Caenorhabditis elegans: one gene and its partner. The protein of the gene in region 1 purifies or fractionates together with the protein of each later gene. This does not show direct contact. Each region holds a gene or a part of one and is shown on either strand. Other genes may lie near its edges.

Region 1 (7,951 bases):
CTTTTAAGACCAAATCTAGAATCAGATTATTTCAGTCTATATGCCCGACTTTATTATAGTCTCTTGATGTTGTCCGTTGCATTTTCCACTTATCACATTTTTGCTAACATGGATAAACCTGAAAGTCTCGAGAATACGCTGAAATGTGTCTTACACGTGTAAGTATTAGGTTGGTCCGGAAGTCTTTATAACTGGGTTTGCTTTTCCACCGCTCGCCACAGTTGCACTTTGGTATTCCCTCGTTGCTAGTGAATAACAACAAGAGTAGGAACTTCATTGTAAGCAACACCTCATTCCCTTCCCTCTGGCCTGAAGTTAGTTAACCAACGATGTATGTCCCTAGTGCGATCCACATCCGATATGGTTTGATGTACCTCTTTCTCTCTCATACCACGATGAAGGAATCGGAAAGTCTCCTCAAGAATGTTTATGATTCACATGTCCCCTACTATAATATCATACGCAATTGGTTCCAAAGCTTCGAGAAGGACGACTTTTCTCTCGAAGACTCTGAGACCCCATAAATTGGATTTGGACACGTTGCAGAAAGCCATGGCAACGGATCCTTTCCAAATCACCCGTGAGCTGTCAACCACACTTGGGTCCCGTCAAACCAACATCGTACAAGATTCAGTTAATACAGGGTGGCCCATAACTATGCGGACCGCAAGTCGTACTCATAAAATCTGATTGGAACATTCAAAAATATGATAACAACACATATTTTATTTCAAATTTTCTAAGGAACAAAATTTGTTGTCAAACTTTCAAATTTTCCGCTTGTGAAATTCTACAGGCCTGCTGACATTCCTAAAAAATTTTGACGTTGGCACGCAACTCATTGGTGTTCTCCTTTTTGTTGTCATTTCTAGGTTCTATTGCAAATATCATCACTTTAGCAATCATATTTGGATTGACTTTTTTCTGAGAATCCGTTTTGCAATAAAATTCATAAATGTTTTCATCTGACATTGATGTGGTCATTGATTGAAGGGAGACAAATCAAGAACATCAGAAAGCCGACGTTCCACTTGGCACATCAGTTATGTAAAAAGTGAATGTTTTGATAAATAGCCATATGATTCTACTAATATTTTTCTTTCCTTGTGGCAACAATTATGTGCTTATCTCATTTTATGGCTGATATATACCAAAAACTGTCACTAGCTATTGAACTCCTTGTAAAATCGGCTGTAGTTACTGTCAAACAATCACCCAACAGGAGCTGGAATTTCATGGAACCAATTCCATATACTTCAACATTTATTAAAATATATTTTTCGCTTCCAAAATGTATACATTACTGTAGAAAAGATCGGTTTCGAAATTTCCACACTCAAAAATCGATGCGTGTCAAAGAGTCGTCAGTGTGGGAGATGATGCTAGTTTGACGACTCTGCCTAGATTGCGTAGTTTAACAAATCACATTTTTTTAAAGTTAGCTAATAGGAAAACATGTCAGCTATCAATGAACAAATAAAACAAAAATTTAAAATTTGTCAGGCGAGAAAAAAACATATTTTTGTGAGAGCAACTCGGTCCGCATAATTATAGGCCACCCTGTATTATTATCTCCTCATTTGTTTTAAATTTCTAATTAGATATCTAAGAATGCGAAGATTTATAAACAAAATCCCCTCACCATACTCAATTTTAAATATTGTTAGACTTTCTAGTCTTTGAACTTCATTCGAAAAAGTTTCAGAATATTTTAAAAATTTAATCATTCTATCGTGCTTTAAAAAGGGTTTTAAAATTGAGAGATGGGATATTTGGAACGGTAGTTTAATTTTATAACGTTTTGTTTTCAGTGGTGGCCAAAATGTCTCGAGCAGCTTAAAATAATTATTCTCTACCCTCATTTCGGTTAGTTATTCTACTATTTACTATTTGTAGATGGTTTCTCAAGGCATTTCAATTTTTTTTAATTTTCAGCCTGAAATGTCATTCGGAAGTGTTCAATGTCATCTACTACCACTACTATCAGTTTTAGAATTTACAGGATCGACAACTTCAATCAGTCAGGATATTATATTTTCAGAGCCAGTTTTTTCTTCTTTCACAGGTTCTTTTCCCTATTTTTTTGGATGGAAAAAATTCGTCAAAAAATTATCATTCATTCTAAAAGTATCATTCTGCCTAGTACTGTATTTTTTGTTTTAAATTCGATCTACGAAACTACAATATAGTATTGCATTATTTCTTACTGTTTGCCAAGATGACCTAATGCTGCAACTAGTTCCTGTTGTATCCATCTGCCTTCTGTTTAAACCCCCGTTCATTACAACTACTTCCAGTTTCTGCATCACACGTGATTAGGTTTTGAAATCGGTTTATTGTAAACATTAAATGCAGGAACATGTACGACTATTACGAACTCACCATATGAAATTAATTTGCAAATTCAATGAGGATGTGCAAATGGCACATTAAAATCAGGCAACTCTGGCGTTTCGGGAAAAAATTGAGAAGAAAAAACATCGAACGTGTAGAAACCCACATCAGAGATTTGTAATTTGAAATGAATAAGAAAAAAATTGACAAAATCAAAAAGAACTGTGACTAAAATTGTAAAGTATATGGGAATAAAGTTGAAATTGGAAGACTAGATAGAACTGTTTGATTTGCGTAAGAATCTGATATTTGGGTAGGACAAAGTTGTAAAATTATCAGTATAACTCGGGCAAATACCTATGTTCTCTATTGGCAAAATCAGTTGGCGAATTATTGCTGGGACGACAATGACAATCGGTTTTATGAATGAGTGAATGACAAATTGAAGAATATTATTAGGATTCTAGACACGTTGATGCTCAAGCTGTTGTTGTGCGGCAGCTAATTGTTGCAACTGTGGGTTTCCAATATTGTAGGCAGATTGGGGAACTAGGCCGTATCCTGCTGGATAGGCGGCGTATTGCTCAATTGTTGTAGGGGCGGCTGCGACTGAAAATGTTTTATTAAATTTGAAAAAAAAAAATTTTTATTTAATTTTAACTTCCTATCGTCGAACATACATTTTCCTTGGGACTGAATACCATAAGCGGCGGCAGCTTGTGGGTTCATTACTGCGGCCAGAGCATTATAATCGAACAATTGTTGCTGAGCAGCGGCTCCTTGTTGTGCCATCAACGGATTGACCAGTCCTGTGACAGTCGGATAATACATTTGAGGAAGTCTAAAAAAAAGTATTGATTAATTACCGAACACGGAATTGACAGGAGGATGTAAATGCCAAATGCTGGAAATGAGGCAACAGTGTTTATCACAATATCACCCAAAAAACACGCACATGCGTGATAAAAATTCACTTTTTTTGGTTCTGGAAAGTATAATTATTTTTGTTTTTGTTTTAACAATATTAAGAAACTCCACATTTTTTCAGTTCAGTTTTTTTGAGTTAGTGCAAAAGAAATATCTAACATATTTGGATAGAATGAAAAGTAAAATCATTGACAACTTCAAAATTCCAAAAAAAAAAGTATCAGAAAAGACGTAACCAAACTATAGCAAAGTTTAGAAAATGCGTGATGGTTTTAGTTAGGCAGCCAAACCCATTGACCTACAAAGAAATAATCATCAATCCCACCAATGAAGAAAACAACTTTGGGGTGCTCAGTTCATTCAGGACTATGCAAGTTTTCACCAAGGGAAAAGAGAAAAACTCGAAATCATATAGGTTTGGGAAATAGGTGAAAATGAAGAGAAAGAGAGTATGGACACGTCAAAAACACAGCACTATTGTATTCCGCTTTTGGTTTGGAAAATGAAAGTAATGATATTGGCACACGTCAAAGCACGCCTAACCTTTAGTTTTAGGCATCCACGGATTTCGATTCAACCGGCCACTTGTCTTAAAATATTTTGGTTTACAATCATTAATATTATTTAAGTTATTATTAAACGTGTGAAGATGGTTGAACACAAGAGTACTTCTCAAGTATCCTAGGCAACTTTTGAGCTAGAGCACAAAGTTCTACAGTGTTTTGTCATTGCTGTTGTTGTCGTGTTGTTTCTTTTTTCTGTATCAACACAACTCAATTAGCGGTGATTTTTGGATGAGATAGGAATTGTTGGAAGTATGTCACACACAGGCAAATCACCGAAACTTACCCCATTCTTGGTTGAAACAAAGCCTGAAGTTGAGTGGTGAGTGGAAGTTGAACTTGTCCAGCGGCCAGCGCTAAAATGACCAACTTGGTGATTTTGGTTAACACAGACAAAAACTGAATAGAGATGCGCGACACAAACAATATCCTTTGGTTATGAAGGTTGTGGAGGATTGATAATGTTTAGCAGAAGCCAAAACACACGGGGAGAATAAAATGATCTGAGAGCTGCTCAAGAGCCGCACAAAAATTCGAAACTTACCAGCAAGTTGCACATTTGTTCTTGGTTTAGCTCCGAGGTATGCCAAGTTGACATTAGCCTTCCTTCCATCAATGATTGGATTTGGATCTTTACAAGCTCTTTCTGCAGAAGCACGGTCCTTCATTGTTACCTGAAAAGTTATGTTTCATTAACAAACATATGTAAAGATCATGTTTTTTTGCGAAGAGTAATCTTTCCATCTTTGCTGTTGCAACTATTTGTTGAGATATATATGGTTGGGAAATGTTTGCTAACAAAATACGCGTGCGATTCCTATGAAGAGCCGCTTGAGAGGTCAAAGCAGAACCGCGAGATTTCGGAAATTTGAAGATTTCTTCATCCACCTTGTTCCCGAATTATTTTCCAATTTAGTGAAGTTAAATCAAACGAAATTGTTTCCTCTTTTATCTGGACGGACAAGATAAAAAATGGTTAATCATGTCAAAAGTGATTGATGATTAGAAACCGTTTCGTTTCAATTGACCTCCAACGTAAGATCTCGTGAAAAAATATCGCAAACTAGAAATTTTTGACATTCCAGTGACTTACAAATCCATATCCTCTGCTTTTTTGTGTGTTACGATCAGTGATGACTACAGCCTCTTCAATATCTCCAAACTGCTCAAAATACTCGTGAAGCGTCTTGTCACTTGTATGGTATGGCAGACCACCGACAAAGATTTTGGTGAACATGGTATCACGGGAACCTGAAAATGAATGGAGATGAACTAAAAAATTTGAAATATTTCCAGTTTCTATTCCTATCGCAAGTCTTCTTTTAAGTGGAACCATATGTGAGGTTACACACAAAAGTTGCATACCACTGTCATTTTTCCCTATCTTTTTCCCTCTCTAAACCATCATCATGTGACAATTCGATGGGGATCACAGGAAACTCACCAACTACTGGTTCGGCGTTGGTTGATTGTGCCAAAGCAGCGGCAGCAGCATGCACCAGTGGATCTTGGACTTGGCCGTACATTTTTTACTTGATTTATATAGGGCCTAGCTTAAATACCGTGAAATTGACCTGCAAAATGTTTTTGTTTGAAGTTTTGTATATATATACATAGAAATATGAGAAGTTTATAAACGATAATTTAAAAAAACATATACAACATCGAAGGTGTGAATCAATAGGAAATGAGCTAGAGCCAACATGAAACTGAAAACTTTACACTGCTATTATCTATCACTCGTCATGATCAATGAGTTATCAGAGACCTTACTTACCTCAGAGACCACATAGGTAGAGATAGTGAAAACTAAACGAAAGGCGACAAATCGCGAGAGAGAGATAAAATAGAAATGGATAAGAACGAGCCGACGAAAAGCTCGCGCGCGCACAAAATCCGTAGGTCTGTCTCCGGTGGTGGGTGAGCCTGTCAAAGTTTTGCTGCTCTCCAAACAGAAGCCAACCACCGCCCGCCTGTCGTCGCAAAAATTGACTCTTTCTTTCCAACACTCTTCCCCCCGGTCAATTTTTGCCATAATATTTCACCACAATGAGCCGTTGCGCAAATAACACCACCTCTGGAGTATCGATTTATGTCATGCTGATCCAGAAAAAAAAGATTGAAATCGATGAAGAGAAATAAAACGCGAAATAACAACAGAGCTCAACTGACAACGAGTGGGTGGATGTTGGGATGAAGTAAAAGAAGAAGGAGGAGAAGAATAAGAAGAAAGAAGGCTCAATCAAAGGATGCGACAAGGAGAAGTTGCTCCAAGAAGAAAAGAATAGAGACAGAATGAAGAAATAATCCATCTCTGATCACATTGCATTCATGATGTGGTGGTGGGAAATACAGAATAATACTTATACTGTAAGATGTTATTTGGAAAACAATTACGAACTGCAGTATAATTTTTTGTTTTTCTTTTTCTGTGTGAAATTTTAGCTGAGAGGAATGTACAGAGGATTTTGAATTTGGCGGCGATTCAAAAATGAAACAACCATTTGTTTGTGCCCAAAAATAGCAAAGAGAGCCCAATTTGTTGCGATGCTACAAAAAAAGAAAAAAATACCGTTCGCTCAATGTGCTCGGACTAAGACGTTCGCATGTTTGGACAATCCGAGAAAGGCAGCGAAAACAGTGGGAGGCAAAAGAAACAAACTGATGCTCTCCTCCTCCCGGGGGCTAGTCTTGTTTTTCGGGAATACAATTGCTTCAAATCTGTGCGTTTCGAGTATGGGAGTCTTTACCGCCCCTCGTCCTCACCGCCTGATTAAACAATTGGAGGACTTGGAAAGCTGTTGTTGAACGACGCAGAGCACTCTGAATATGGCGGTTCGTCACATTTACATGGAAAAACTTTAAGGATTCTTATGTGAAGTGCCATGTGCATTGAAAATATGGGAAAGTGTTGAAGATTTGAAACCCGGACGTGGTGGTGTTTCTCATCATATCAGTTTATCTTCGATAGTAAGCACAGAGACCGTATAAACCATGCAGAGAGGAAATTTCACTTTTTTATGTTATTTATGTCCGTCCGCAAAACTTCGAAGACACATGACTGAATGAAACTGTTTGTTACAAAATGATTGATTAGAGGGGGGGGGGGGGGGGGTAGAACTAAAACTGGAAGGGCTCTGAATACCAAATACCAGAACCAAATTTTTTACTAAAGGTGAAGAAGCTTTACAAATAGTGGGGAAAAAGGGGATACCATCGAGTTTTTGCAACTTTTTGAGAAAACTATAGCACTGTCGCATGTTCAAATCCGTACAATGTGTGAATATTAATAATTAAAACTGATGGAGACCATCAAACTGTAAGGAACATGTTTCAATCGATGACTTCCAAAAAAGTGGCAAAAACTGAGTAGTAACTACTTTTCAAAACAAAATAACAAAATTTCAACAAATAAAAAATTTTTGACACTATTTGATGAGCTTTTAACAATTTACATACTAGCTAGCATCATCTTGAATGATTCAAAATTAAAGAGAGAAAATAAACAAGCTCAGGTGCATCAAGAGCAGTCAGCTGAGTTTTTTTGCCGGATGAGCGCCAGCAGGAGTAGAAGAAGAAGGAGGTAGCAAAAATATATTTCGAGTGAAAAGAAAACTGGTCTTAAAGGCGGTTGGTTCATCGCCCCGAAAACAAATAGGCCAAGAGCCAACGAAAAAGTGCGAGCGCGAGCCGTTGAAGAACGAACGAAACATGAAACTTTCCCCGGCTCGAGGCCTACGGCCTGGATCGGGAACAATCTACTGAATTGCTTCACGCGGCGCGAAAAACATGCATTTTTCCATCACCGACGACGTGCGCACTGATGATGTCTTAGGGCATGCCTTTGATAACGGCGGCAGATGCCAAACCTGCTGATGTGGTCGCAAAAGAAATAAATAAAAAGTCAATTATGATTACGCGTGTTTTCGGCAATCGTCTCATTTATTTCATCTTCCTTTCTTCGAAACACCAGGAGAAAGTGACAGAATGAGTGAGGGAGGGGGGGGGGGGGGGCCCGGGGAGGGTTAGGGCAGAAACATTTTGAGACTTGTAAACAGTTGACATCTCTACCAGTGCAATAAATATACATGTTGAGCTCCTGTAAGCCACTCTGGTGGTCCTCTGGC
Region 2 (7,407 bases), 1.4 Mb from region 1:
TATCGTTTCTTATTATCCTAGCAGTAAAAAACGTATTTCAAATATTGCAACAAAGAGTTAAAACTGCTTTCTTTTCCTCTCCTCTAAACTGAATCGGTCTGAAGCTGAGGCAATTTTGCTGTTTTATAATAGTTATATAACCTTCCCCTCCTAAATTTCATTTAAACATCAATACTGTCAAAAAATATATATATAAATTTTTTTGAAAAGTTTTACTATGATATTTTGGCATTTTAGCACCATAGAAGTGGGTTTAAACAATTTTTCCACTACTCTGCCTTCAGAGCAAAAAAATGTGAATAGTTTTATGAAGAGCAATCCATATTCATAAGATTGGATTTGTAATCTGATGCCATTACTATCAAGAATATACCTAACGAGCTTCAGCGGTTTGTTCTGTAAGAATATGGAAGCACATTTACTTAGGCATTTCTCATAAATGCGAGCCATTCCATTCCGAAAGAAAAACGGAAGAAAAATTTTAATGTGACATTCAAAACGGATCTCATTTCCATTTCGGAGCTTTGACTCCTCTTGTGGGTGAGCAAAATTGGAATTCAAAATTTCCAATTTAAAACACGGAGAAGGCAGAGCTGGAGAATGTTGGAAACTAAGCCTACATTCCTCCAGGAGTACCACCACGTTTAGTACGCCTGATTTGATACGGGCATATGAGCACGCGAGCAAAGACCGTGAATTCATTTCGATTCACGTGGACCTCTTGGATTAACCAGTGTGCCGAACCAGCACCCTCCTCAAGCCCCTATTCGATTACACTTCTCTCTTTTCCACCACCAGTCTTATTTATTTCAAATCAAAGCACTACTCGTTTTCTTCTTTTTCTTCTGCTACTTGGCTCCTCCTTCCTCACCCATCGTTAGCGGTACACAAGTTTATAGTTTATAGTTTATTTAAGCACATTTAGTCATATAATTCATAATGTTTTTCTAGTACTGTTCATATAAAAGTTTGCCAGTGATTTATCAGAAAGAGCCTCAGAAAGAAAAAAAGATTTGAATCTTAATGAATCGGAAAGTTGAAAGCACAAATACACTGAGATGGGGCAAGAATTCATTATACTTTCCGTGTTTTGTTATTTACTGAAATGCTCCCAATTTTCCCTAGATATTGCGTTTCTCCGTCTTGAAATCCGAATACCTCCTTCTCCTCCTCCTCCTCACTTGATTCCGTGTAGGACTTGTGAGGCTCGCTGGCAAAACTCCGGAAATCAAACAAGAATCGCGTTTCTTTTGCTCCTCTCTCTCTTCGTCCTTTTTTGTTCACAAAATCTAATTTGAAGAGGCGATTAAAGGTGTTGAATTGAAAAGGAACGACGTCATCTTGCTTAATCTGGCGGTCAAATCATTTTTTTAATCTAAGTTTTGTTTTCGGTAAGCTTTGGTTTTTTCAACAAATTTCCGGATTTTGTGTGGGCGGTTCGGGAACTTTTGAATGTATTAACCTAAAATATGCCCGAATGAACATGATGAATCTTCTCAAAAAAATTTTTCAAAATTTTTATAACACGGTTCAAAATTTCGAAAAAATTTGGCTCGAATTAAGTTAAAATCGCAAGTTTTCAACACTGTTTTGCGCCCAAAAAAGCGCCAAAATTGAAAATTATGGGTGAAATTAGACCTTCTTTCTATCGAAATTTTGAACCTTTATGAAAAATTTATGAAAATTTTTTGAGCAATCTCATTACCAAAATCGTTCTTTTGAGCGAATTTCGAGCTTATACGTTCCAAATTTCCCTAACAGTTAGTCCACTTGTAAGGAATTTTCGATATTGCTGAAAACTCTAATAGCGAAATAATAGCGGTAGTATGTATTGTCATATTTTTCAAAATTTTTAGTTCAAAGTTTTCCACAAAAAAAGTTTGCCTCTTGAGAAATTTCTAACATTTCTGCAAGTTTGAACTTCTGTGATGCTAAATTTCAAACAATTACTGCATAATCGGAATTTCAAAAATCCAAAATTTTTTTTAGGATTTTCAAAGTTATTATAGGGAAAAACTGATCTTGTTTTACTATAAATTTTGCATCTTTGAATGATTTTAAACAATTTCACCACTGGCTAGACATTTTAGCCTATTTCGAATTCCCAAGCTGCAATCTGAAAACCTTTTTTTTTCGAAGTGATCTGCGTTGTGACGGTTTGCAATATTTTCTTGTAATTCCTATTTTCAGGATTCGAGTTTTTTTCCCTACAAGACATATACTTCCCGTATGTTAATATTACCACCACTCCCAGAATAGCTAATATGATTAGTAGGTAGTGCTTTTAGCGCACATCTGTAAAGATGGTGAGAGCGTAGGGACGAAGACGACATTGGGACAGCGGCCACGCCCATTTCCTCTCAATTAATAAGACGTGCCTCTGAGCACACTTTTGCGCCATCCTTTCCCGTGCTCTTAACGCTCAGAAGTCAGTAGTGACCCTACTAACAACTCATTGAGAAAGAAGACGACGACAACCCGTGGGGGCAAAGTGGTCACACAAGTAAGAAACCGCGCCCCGTTTTCGTGTCTGTCGTGTGTCCCGCTATCCGTCCGGCGGGTCTAGTCCGTCTTTCCTGCTCCTTATTTGTGACGAATTGTCAGAAGGAAGAAAACGGAGAAGAAACAGCAGCAACAGCAGAAGAAGCAACTAGAAGCAAAAGCAGAAGCCGACAAAGAAGAAGAAGAAGCCTAAGGCCGTGTGAGCTGCCCCTCCGAGTTGTGTTGCGTGATTCGCCACTTCTTTGGATGAGGCCAATTGTGGTGTGACATACAGACACACATCGCATAAATACTGCCCCCCCCCCCCTTTTTTTTCAACCATTCCGTTTCCGACACGACGACTGACTCTTCAGTCAGTCATTCCTAGCCGTCCACGCTCGCCACCACTTCCCCGTCGCCCTGTTTTCCACAAAATTATTTTTCTAGTCTTTCCTTCTACTACTCTGGATACTGTAGCGCCTCTTGCTGAAACATGGCTGAACTAATCGAAGAGGTGAGCACTGCTACTCACGCTTCTCTCAATGCATGTGACCCGATTGTAGTGAATTCTGAGGTATGTTTTTTAATACTAATTTTTGTCTTGAAATTGGTCATGACTGAACGTTTCGAAAAGTTGGAAAAAACCATTGGGGCCTAAGGGTGCGCGGCAATTGCCGACCGGCAATTCTACAAAATATGACAGTTGGGCATGAGCTTTTGCATTTAAATTTAAGGATGTAATCTGGGAATAAGTATGAGTTCACTTGAAGCAACCGAAAAAACACACAAAAATCGACACATTTTCCGGAAATTTTCAGCAGAAATTTTCAATATTCAGACGATTTTTGAAAAATTCTCCACAGATATTTTCAAAAAAAAAAAAACCAAATATTTTTCTATATTATATCATCAAATTTTAATGAAAAATGTCGAGCCAACTGTCTCATTTCGTAGAATTTATTGCCGTGAACTTCTAATTGAGACTTTTTTTGCAAATCTAACTTCAACTTCAGTTTGTTGGTCGGAATGTGCACTTTTTAAGTGAGTTAGCTGCGTGTGAACCGAAAGACTATTCTAATCCAGTTTGCTTCCTTTTTTCCTCTTATTTTGTTTTGGGCTCTTCTTCAGTAAAGGCTCCATAGCATAGCTTTTTTTAATTTCGCAATTCTTCTCGTTTTGCCCATTTTGTCTTGCCAAAACAATAATGCGACTTTCCGACACAAAATTGTGTGAGAAATCTCGTCATTTTACCGCATCTCGACCTTCTCCTAAATGTTTTCGCAGCTGCTTGTGAGCCATCAAGAAAGGCAGAAGCTGGCAAACGGGAAGAGACGAAGGCTCACCCTTACTCAACGATAATTAGATGAGTACATGGATGTGAGATGGCTTCTTCCTTTTATTTGTGCTAGAAAGAAGACCGAAACATTGAAACACTCGCGCAGCACCGAACATTCAGGATTGCGAGCGGATATGTGCTGTGCGAATTGAAATAAGCGGAAAGTAGTGCAGTAATGAGAAATAGTGACCTCAACTACCTCAACTAGTCAACCATAGAAACGAGAATATCACGCAATTTACGCGGCAATTATACTACTGGATAGTTGAGGGGAGATGTCAAAAGGGGCATGACAACCAAAGTCAGCGTCAACTAGTGTTTTCGTTTCGACAGTTTCTATCTGTTTTGTGTGAATCGCGGAAAACTTTCCAACATGGAGTCTAAATTGATTTGTTATACCAAATTTGCGTACTGTTGATGGAAATTCGGAGAACTGGTTGTGTTTTTCAATATTTCCCGGTAGTCAAGTTTTGAAGTTTTTTAATTGAACATATATCATTGTGCCAAGTTTGGCAGATTTGTTCGGCAAATATTAGTATTTTCGGCACTCATTAAACATTTTGTCCAAAAATAAAAGTTTTGATCAGATATTTTATGAAAAAAAAAACATAGCATAGTGTTTTTATATGTTTTATTTAAAAAAAAATCGACACGTGCATTAGGCACACAATAAACGAAAATTATTTGTTTTCCATTAATTTTGACACTTTTTGAGCTCAAAAAAACATTTCAATTTACCGAGTTTGAGAACCACGGAAAAGGTGCCTAATTTGCCGAATTTCTCGAGTTCGGCAAATATTCAAACAAAAAAAATTTGCCGAACTTGTCGAGCTCGGCAAATCTCAAAGTTTGCCGCACACATTTGACACAATCCCTGAATGTGTTTCAAATTTTGTAAGGATATTTCTCAAAAATACAAAGTCTGTGACACAGAAAAGTGACCAAAATCGGGAAGTTTAGCTAAAATTGGGTTATTTTTTTTCGAAAATTTGCACCGCCTACATTTTAGAAAAAAAATTGAGCAGTTTCATAACATGTACGTTTAAAATGCCACGAGCTTGCGATTTTGCTTATATCTATCCCATTATGAAATTTATCGATGTTTTGTAAAGAAATTCGAAATATATATATAATGAAGCAGATTAAATCCAATCCCCTTTTCGTTCTGCCTCAACAATAGGTTATTCTCATATATTTCTATAATCAGAAGGAAAACAAATGGAGAATAATGTGGCACAGAGGAAAAAACAAGCAACCCAGGTTGACATCCAGCTTGGCTTGAATAATCTGGAACCTTTGGTCCCTCTATTGTTTCCTGCTCAATGTGTGTTTCTTTTTTTTCCTTGTTGTCGTTCAATGTACAAGGAATATTTACTTACGTTCATCATGTTTTGAGAACAAAATTGTTTTGCTTTGTTGTTTCTTTCTATCCAACCAAAACTTTTTGATTTTTTGGCCGCCATAGTTTTTGTATACAGTGTTGGCTAAAAAGGTACTCCTGATTGCAACTCTGAAACTGGAAAAATTTATTGCTCGTCACTATGTTTTTTTTTGTTTTTAAAGCGGCCGACATCTCGTAAGCCATTTCAACTCTTATATCTTATTTTTCTGACTGATTAAACAAAACGAAAAGTATTGTAAAGATAAATTTACTATCACAAACTTTCCATTAAAAATGTGGGTTTTGAGTTATCATCAAAAATGGATTCACGAAATGTCGGCGGCTTTATTTTTCGCCATGATTTTTGTGTAAAACTCAAACACCTAAAACAAGTAAACATAGTCATGGGAAATATTTTGATCATTTTTCAACAACTTTTATAGTTTCCGAGTTTTACTACTGTGAAAATTCAGCAGAACTACCAAACAACTATTTTTGGCCAGCACTATGAGTTGCAATATGATGACAGAAATTGTATACAGTTTTGATATTAGATACTTTATTATTATTATTATTCACAACATCCAAACCTGGTGCCCTTATCGACCCGTCTGCCACTAATAATTCCCAAGTCCCCCAGCGTTCTACATCCACTGCTCGCTATATTGCGTGCACACAGTCTCTCTCGTCTTCTGAAATAGACGAGCCATTGTCGTCTTCCTATTCGCCCTCTTGGGGGATGACCTGTTCGGTCATGCAGCAGATCGCGTCTCCCCTCATCTCTGTGTGTTGTTTCCAATTGCGCTCTCATCGTTCATCGATTTGGTGCAAAGACATCTGTGCATTGCGCGATACGTACCACATGTTCTCATCCACGCTGTTCACTTGCATATATCTACATCTATTTTTTTAATAGTTCCCTCTTCGTTTCACATTCCCACTTTCCGCTTTTTGTCTAGATTTTTCTCTTATTTTTTATTTTCAAAATCTGGTTCCACTTTTGTCGTGCCATTCTTCACTAGCCACCCAACTGATTTCGCGCCGTTCGTTACCCATCTCTCATCTGGTCACCACCCGCTGCGTCGGTTTCATGTAAATGCGCTCAAAACATCATCGATGAAAATGAATTGGAAACAAAATAGCTTCTCACACCCTAAGTCACTATGTTTTCCAACAACTGTTCACTTTTGCTGTGAATTTCGAAGATGCGTCACCTGAGAGAAAGGGCAACTGCTTTTCAAATCGTGGTGTCGTTTTCTGTCTGGAGTTTTGATGAGTCCTATCAATAAGCTTCATGATTTATGACAGTAGAAACCTTTTCCGGCTCCGTTCCTGGTTCGATTTTCAGTGGCCCCGTGCTCTAGATTATTTTTAGATGGTTATCTACCTTACGTAGTTGCACAGTCCATTCCTCATTTCAATATCTCCTCTCTCAAATTAAAATTTCATAATTCTAATATGTTCGAGAAAATATTAAAGTTTTGTTGAAATATTAATACAATTTTTCCAGTTCACCTCCTTTGAACTTTTCCTACTGCATCACCAACCACCCCGCACCACTACGGCTACATTTTGTTCTCCCCAGATATTGACCGTCTAGTCAAAAAAAAGTGTTCTCAATTTTGAAAGTTATTGTTTTTTTTTCGAAAAAATTTTATTTTGTATTTCTTTTCCAGCATCAAAATCTGTAAGCCTTCCGATCCTACAGTTATCTCCCCCACTGTTTTTACGTTTCCTTCTCAGGGGCTATCGTCTCCCTATTTGACATCCCTGTCATCGAGTGTTTATATTAATAGAGGTGCAGCTAAAACAAAAAAAAAGGGGGGGGGGGCAACAAAAACCTAGTGACGCACAACTTGTAAAGGTCAGTTCGACTGTGTTGGGTAGTAAACTGTGCGCAGTAGTCTCTCTCTCTTGATCCATATGGTCGAAACGCAAACTCATCCCTCTTATCGACCGCCGCGAATGTCTCCGCAAGTTAAGGTGAGCCCATCAATTGAAATATAATTCAAATTTCCGATTTGCGTTAGGCTGAGCACATGAACATGACGTTATGAATTACTGCTGATTGAGTATGACAGATATAACTATTTCAAGGCAAAAATGCTTCTTTTTTTTAAGACTAAATTAAGAATAATCGATATTAATATTATCTTTCAAGGAGAAGTAACACTTTTAAACTGCTCAAATTGTGCTCAAAAAAACTAAT

What was found. Proteins that work in one complex are often made in the same cells at the same time.
Region 2: the proteins of sup-12 (region 1) and fox-1 purify together in Caenorhabditis elegans (affinity purification with western blotting, with the first as the bait; one study listed by BioGRID). This does not show direct contact.

What each region holds. Positions count from the first base shown.
Region 1 is NC_003284.9:3,902,038-3,909,988, reverse strand, and holds sup-12 (RRM domain-containing protein), read right to left. Parts: upstream 5,399-7,951; 5' UTR 5,351-5,398; coding exon 5,269-5,350; intron 5,076-5,268; coding exon 4,918-5,075; intron 4,499-4,917; coding exon 4,369-4,498; intron 4,181-4,368; coding exon 4,111-4,180; intron 3,851-4,110; coding exon of another isoform or gene 3,835-3,850; exon of another isoform or gene 3,805-3,834; intron 3,176-3,804; coding exon 3,015-3,175; intron 2,944-3,014; coding exon 2,798-2,943; 3' UTR 2,318-2,797; downstream 1-2,317. Other genes in the region: T22B2.5 (Neur_chan_memb domain-containing protein), read left to right, coding at 36-158, 1,812-1,845.
Region 2 is NC_003284.9:2,451,517-2,458,923, reverse strand, and holds the start of fox-1 (Sex determination protein fox-1), read left to right. Parts: upstream 1-2,974; coding exon 2,975-3,055; intron 3,056-7,407. UniProt on the Caenorhabditis elegans protein: RNA-binding protein that regulates tissue-specific alternative splicing events by binding to 5'-UGCAUG-3' and 5'-GCACG-3' elements. Also binds to poly(A), poly(G), poly(C), or poly(U) stretches of RNA.